2 linked regions of the Neurospora crassa OR74A genome follow. The protein of the gene in region 1 interacts with the protein of each later gene in a biochemical or structural test. Links are inferred from orthologs where the notes say so. Each region holds a gene or a part of one and is shown on either strand. Other genes may lie near its edges. The genes, in order: apg-1 and atg-8.

Region 1 (3,927 bases):
GTCTTGACCTCGAGAGGTGATGTTCCATGGCTGCGAGGGGAGAAGGTCAATGGCTGGGATCGCTTCATGCAAGTCGCTCACGCCCGCATTCTGATGCAGCCTGTGGATCAACCAGGCGGGACTGCTGCCTGAGATTCTGGGTTCCGGTTGGCTAGTCATTATTACTCTTAGTAGTGTATACAACGCGCACAGTGGCCATGGATGGATGTGTGGTTGATTGCTTTTGGAGTGCCTGTGTCGTCAAAGATGATTAGACTTTGGTGATATTGTCATTGTTTGGAACAATGAGTAAATGAGTAATTCCAAGCCCCGTCTCGTCTAGAAGCAACCGAAGTCTTGAATCGAGGGTCCTTGCTGATGACTCTTTGGGAACACTACTACCGGGCAGCCGGGCTATTACCTTGTACGTATTCAGTTTGAAATGGAGACAGGTCGATATTAGCGACGGGTTGATGCTCGGGACTGAACATGTCCATCAATTGCGACTTTGTGCCAGTACGCTACGTGATTTTGCCTCGTGCTCGGTTCGGTGCCCGCAAAGACGCAAGACAAGCGGTAAATGACAGGAACAACAACATGACGCGTTTCGACATGGAGACTGACCGTTAAGAGATCCCATAACCGACAACGAAGAACCCACCCAGCTTTATAACCTAATTACGACTGCTTCCTTCCAACGTGTTCGGACAACAGGTTCCAATCATTTTCAAGATTTCCAGGCTGCCTATCCGTGGAGAAGCAAACCCGCCTCAAGGCTTCCAGGTTCGCAGCGAGGTCCAGTGTCACTCCAAGCGGTGATGTTATCAAGCTGCAAGTGCCTTATCACCACAGAAGGACAGGCCGTTTTAGGTAGCGTCGGGAGTTGGGGCCAATGGCGGGCCGGCAACGTGCAACTCCACTCGCAGCGTAACAGGGCCCTCGTACCGTCTGCGTACCCCGGGCCCACCTGACCCCTTCTGGAAAGGCGGAAGAGCTGGGCAGACGGCCTCGAATGCTACCGCAGGGTACCCACGAGCTACATTGACTGGTGCAGACCATGTCGAGGCATCATGACTCCAATGCACCTGCACGGACCAGTCCCCTTGCACATCATCACGAGCTCCAGGTGTAGTCACTCGCAAGTCGCTTGGGACGCTGCCCCCCTCTGCTGCCACCTGGATCTGGCTGATGCTGCCCTGCCCATCGAGGTTCCCGTCCCTCTTTTGCCGTCTCCTCTCGTCATTCACTCACTGCCATTAATCTCAACTTCCTCTCAAGAAGAGACTGAAGATAACGTCTTTGTCTTCCCCCCTTTGGGAATCACGCATATCAAAGTTTATAGTCTACCAACCTAATAAACCAAAGAACTGCGGGCAACGGCTCTTTCCCGTGCTCCGCTCCGGGCACAAATACCCTGGGTACCTACCTAGGTTGACGATTGTACAGCTCGCCCGCCCCCAGTCTTGTGTCTGTTACGTCGGTACCGCCTGGGTACCCGATACGGTACCTCACTTAGAGGTACTGGTGCGCTATCACTTATCGCTGTCCATCCAGCAGTCCACCCACTCCTTCCTGCGGCGTCCCTCGATCCGCATCACCCATCACCGCGACCGTCGACCACGGCCAACCGACCACCCAGACACTCCCACGACAGGACCACACCCATTCCCCCCCGTTGCGTCAGGTCCCCATCCACTCATCATCCGCAACATCTCCTACCAGCACCGCCCTTGGGCCCTTCAGAATTGCCTCCCTCGGCCGGCTCTACCGAACTACCTTTGCGTCTCTCTCCCCCCATCCCATATCGCCCGTTCATCTCTCCATCCTCCGAGTCAAGGTCACAGCTTCGGTCTCCCTCTCCGCTGTCTCCGGTCTCGCACCCTCAGGTTCCGATCGCCATCGGCGGGATCCATCGCGTCTTTGACATCTATCGCCATATACCACATCCATACACCCGACACCATACCAACTTTCGCCGCTTCCGCATGAACTGCCGTATGCCGGTCCGCCGACCATCGCGTCATCCTATTGCTCTCTCGACCCGTTTCTCATAGACGCTACCTAGTACAAATCCGCCATCCTATACAGATCAATCGCACAACTAGATATAACCCAGCCGCAACCCTCGCTGTTGTCGAACCGATTGATACGGACGAGGCCAGCCTGCGGCCGATCGGGTCTGAGTCATTGACTTGACGTAGGACGTCAGTCTGCCGCGGTGGAGGAAGAGCAGCTGTCAACAACCACGCTTCCGTACTGATAGCAGACGTCCAGGTACAACAGTGTCGGTGTCGGAGCTTGGACCCTATTCTACTGTGTCCTGAGCCTTCATCCGTCCGTCGTTTCCTCCATCAACCTCAGCTGCTCGACTGCCTGTTCGTTCTGCCGTTCTTCCGCTCTTTTTCGCATCGACGGTTCCATCAGCCACCCGTTCGGGCTCACCTAGGCATCCCGTCCTCTCCGACTCCTCCAGACTTTGAAACGATTGTACTGAGCTCGACCCCCCTTCGCACCTCCTCTTCCATCCCATACCACCGTATACTCTCTCTTGGCTCCACCCAGTCTCATCGTCGCCTGGCTGTCCATCTGCCATCCCCATCCAAGCCTGGCGCATGACAGATTCGAAGAACCATCAAGGTACTTCGTACTCGAACCTCTTCCCTCGACCACGCATTTGCCGTTTCATCTTTGGCTTCGACACATCCTCGACCTATCATCTCCACCTGCATCATTGCATAACCGAACGCAATCGGCCTTATTCATACAAACTTCTCTGCTTCTGCCTAGAGCTCCTCTTCATCATCCTCACCACCTCAACCCCGGATCGATAGCACCATACTATTTGGCGTATACATGCCTGCCAGACTTGAGGTTGACGTCTTCCGAATAGTTTAGTCCCTTGGGCTACCTACCTTTACACTGACTTCCCGTCATCAACACATACACCAGGAAGCCATGTCGGACCGAACGTCTGCTTCCTCGTCTTCGAGGAGGACGAAGCAGAACTACGATGCCATTGGATCCTTTGTCATTGACCAAGAGATAGGAAAAGGAAGCTTTGCAAAGGTTTATCTAGGTCGACATAAGGTTAGTGTACTCTGCAGCCTCACCCTGATCGATCTTTCAGCATCCCATTCGGCCTTGACCTCACATCCGTACCGTGATCTGGGCTGCTTGTTGACATATCGTGCCTACAGGTCACTGGCGCATTGGTTGCTGTCAAATCCGTTGAGCTCGCCCGCCTAAATAAGAAGCTGAAGGAAAACCTGTACGGGGAGATCCAAATTCTCAAGACCCTCCGACACCCTCATATTGTCGCGCTCCATGACTGCGTTGAATCCTCTACCCATATCAATCTGATCATGGAGTATTGCGAACTCGGTGACTTGTCGCTGTTCATCAAGAAGCGAGACAAGCTCATAACAAACCCCTATACGCACGACCTTGCGCGAAAGTACCCCGTCTATCCGAACGCCGGCTTGAATGAGGTAGTGACTCGCCACTTTCTGAAACAGTTGGCGAGCGCATTACAGTTTTTGCGCGCTGGGGATTTCGTTCATCGAGACGTCAAGCCCCAGAATCTTCTTCTGCTTCCCTCTCCTCATATGATGGCGAACAACAAGACGGCAAAACACATCATGAGTGGCAGCTATGACTCCTTTACGCCTGCTGCCGGCCTAGCCTCGGCCCCGATGCTGAAGCTTGCCGATTTTGGTTTCGCCCGTGTGCTGCCGTCGACATCCCTCGCCGAGACACTGTGCGGCTCTCCTCTTTACATGGCCCCAGAAATTTTGCGATATGAGAAGTACGATGCGAAGGCCGATTTGTGGTCTGTGGGCACGGTATTGTACGAAATGGTAACCGGAAGGCCGCCTTTCAAAGCCAGCAATCATGTGGAACTTTTGAGGAAAATCGAATCATCGGGCGATGTGATCAAGTTCACAAGGG
Region 2 (3,248 bases), on another chromosome or scaffold:
TTTGTCTTTCAACTTTCTCACTCATCCCGCACGTATAGCCCTTTGTTGTTTCAGTTATTGCTGCAGCCACAGCCCATTGTTTTGACCCCACATGATCATGATCAGACGAAGTTTTGTGATGACTGGTTATAGTAGAAGACAATATAACTATCAAATTTGATGTAATGTTTGAACAGCGATGTGAAGTTAATTTTGTAGAGGACAGAGGAAGTTGATGAAAACGTGTCAGTCATGCGCCGAGGCAGGTTACTTTGAGTGTCTTGGGAGTTGCCCCTGGAGGTTAGGCTGCAGACCTATGCAATGCCAAGTAGTCGGCACATCTTTCTTGTATTGGCGAAGCATGAAGTTGGTCTAAGACTGCCAGAATCGGATATACGAGTTTGGCGAGTTTGTACCGACGGCGACACTGTCGTAGGAGTCCTCCGTGATTTCATCAAATCGGTTCAGAAGAACTGGGAAGACCAACAGTTAGCTCAACACACAATGGATTTAACCAAGCGTCATTATACACAGAGACCATCAACCATGACAACCAGTGTAACGATACCCAGCTAGGATACGTGTAATACCTATCGTATATTCTATAAGCTACGTGCTTCCTCGTGATATCCACGTATGGAACTACCGTCCTCGTGATGTGCCTCCATTGCGGCCATGTATCCAAGGTTCATGTTCGGAGGGGTTCAACAAGGGATGTAAGTCACCGGCGTGGTGAAAAAGGGCATAGAGAATGAGGGTAACATTGATTTGTGAACCGGGCAATCCAACGGCAAATGATGCTGTCTCTAGACCAAAGCACACCGGGAAGCAAAGTAAAGGGGACTTCACTTTCATACGGCTGCAGGTGGCACCTAAGTCCAGACCCCAACAGCACAGTCCCATCGTCCCTTCTGTCGTAGCAAGCCCTCCCCCTCTTCAGCCAACGTGACCCTAAGGATATAAACCCAGCAGAAACAACATGATGCACAGCCCACCAACCCGCTCATTGATCCAGTAATCGTGTATGAATCCCAAAACGCCCACAACGTCTAAAGCAAAACGATAGAGAGGATATGATTACGCAGTCTCGAAGTCGCCGAAGGTGTTCTCGCCCGAGTATGTGATGTAGAGGAAACTGTGGTAGTAGTCACGTTAGTCTGGGTTACAGTTGGAAAAAAAAATGATGGGGGATGGAGGCTGCCACGTACCCATCCTCATCCTTGTGCTCCTCGTAGATGCTGCTCATGAGAGCAGCGGTTGGAGGAAGGACCTCATCTACGAAGATGAAGATGGCCTTCTCGGGCGACAGCTTGATGCGCTTGCGGATGACGTAAACGAACTGGCCCACGGTGAGGTCCGCCGGTACGAGGTACTTCTTCTTATCGATGGTAGCGATATCACTCTTCTCGACCTTTTCGCAGATAACCTGTGGCGACATGTGTTAGTTAGGGATAAGGGCGGTGACTGCGGGATCGTCCGGATGGGGGATGCTTACGGGAATACGGTCGGAGTACTTTTGGCGAATACGCTCGGCCTCAGCCTTGCGCTTCTCGAAGGGGTGCTCGTCCTTGAACTTGGATCTCATTTTGGCGGTTTGGGTTGATAATGTGGAAGATGCGGTGATAGGTGTTTGGCTTTGAGATTGACTACAAGCGTGGATACGATGGATGGATAAGACGATGTCTGCGATAGACGGAATCCGGTGTTAGTCGGAAGAAGCGGCTATTGAAAGGGAGATGGACCATGGATGGCTTCCACAAGGAGCAGAATCAGTGTTGGCCGGCTGGAAATGCAGAACATACCTTGATGACTGGCGTGTGATGAAATGAGGAAGCTGGGGAGAGATGTCAGAGGTAAGAAACGGCAAGAGGATGAAGAGGGGGAAGAAGGGTTGATGTACCTCTTTGACCATCGATGTAAGGTATGTTAGTAGGTAGGTTGCCAGGCAGTGTTGCCTATCGGCCGCGTCCAGTTGGCGCCTGCCCGCCTGTCTGCGCAGCACGGGTCAAAGGCCCTGGACGGGCACGCCAGGACAACCTGAACACTAAGCGGGTGACCAGCAGGCGGAGGCGGGGCTGACCAGATGACTAAAGCGAGAGTCGATCCTCGATTGGGCTTAGCTCGCTCCCAGTCGGTGAATCAGATGGGTCACTGGCCGTCGCTCACATGGTCAAGCTTAACAGGTCACTGCCTTTTCAGTGGCATTCCAGGGGCATTTCAAGGCGAAGGCGTGCCCGGCACTCAGCTAGGAGCGGTACCTGAACGGTACCTCTTGGCCATCAGTGGGGCGGCGTGGAGGTATGTACCTAGCAATGACGCAGCACTAGGTCCGTATCCGCCTCCTATCTCTCGTTCCATGTACACTACTGTAGTACACATTACCAAGTCCTAGGTTGATGATACCTTCCACTTGTATCAGCGGCACATGGACAAGACAAAAGGATGGCCCGAAGAAGGGCGCATTGTAAACCTCCTTTCCGTTCCAAGGGCAGCCTCGTGGCCGTGATCCTTTGGCTTCCCGGTTCGTTGAACGTGTGTAGACCGCATTTTACTAAGAAGGGCGTGGACGGTTCCATCGCCTTGGCCAGCGTCTCGAACTTGCACGGGCAGCTTGTTGACCGCTTTGTTCGCCTGCCGTCTACCTAGGTACCTCTACACTATTAAAGACCTACGGAGGACCAGGTCATGGATGTCACCACTGCGAAGTCGTCATTCTCTCCGCTTGTTCGCATTTGGTATATCTTATCCATGATAAGTAGTCTCCTATCGGCAATGAAGCTTTATCCTGGAGCTCCTCCCGGGCCTCCCTACAACTGAAGTCCGATCGGAGCTGACCATTTGCCCCGCCATCAATGGGACCTGGGCCCGTGTGTTTATTATCAGGTACCGTTTTCGGTGTCCGCCTAGGTGGCTTTTCCGGTCGCTCCCGGAGTGCGTGCAGCACCAAAAGTGGACATCTCGCTCCTCAGGGTCCGGTTCCCCGTCCATCCACTGGAGCCGTTGAAATGCAAGGAACACCCCGCGAATGTTCCGTTTGGGCTGCCCGCACAGGATACGGCACTGCGCTATCATGGATGGCAGCGTGGTTACAGAAGGAGCTGTCTATCAGCCTGTTCCGGGTATAGCGTCATTTTCCATCATTAGTAGTGTAGGTAGTTGATAGTTGATCCAACCAGTGGAAGAGAATTCGGCTCCGAGGCACCACAAGCAAGCGGATCCCTCCTCGAGATCCCCAGCAGGCAGGGCGATTACCCAGCGAAGACTAGACT

What was found.
Region 2: the proteins of apg-1 (region 1) and atg-8 form a complex in vitro, tested with the Saccharomyces cerevisiae proteins (3 studies listed by BioGRID, with this or other methods). The link is inferred for Neurospora crassa OR74A from reciprocal best matches to the Saccharomyces cerevisiae genes ATG1 and ATG8.

The regions. Positions count from the first base shown.
Region 1 is NC_026503.1:2,936,652-2,940,578, reverse strand, and holds the start of apg-1 (ATG1 protein), read left to right. Parts: upstream 1-1,383; 5' UTR 1,384-2,934; coding exon 2,935-3,066; intron 3,067-3,176; coding exon 3,177-3,927. UniProt on the Saccharomyces cerevisiae protein: Serine/threonine protein kinase involved in the cytoplasm to vacuole transport (Cvt) and found to be essential in autophagy, where it is required for the formation of autophagosomes.
Region 2 is NC_026502.1:3,123,327-3,126,574, reverse strand, and holds atg-8 (autophagy protein 8), read right to left. Parts: upstream 1,901-3,248; 5' UTR 1,782-1,900; intron 1,663-1,781; 5' UTR 1,565-1,662; coding exon 1,475-1,564; intron 1,406-1,474; coding exon 1,188-1,405; intron 1,115-1,187; coding exon 1,057-1,114; 3' UTR 521-1,056; downstream 1-520.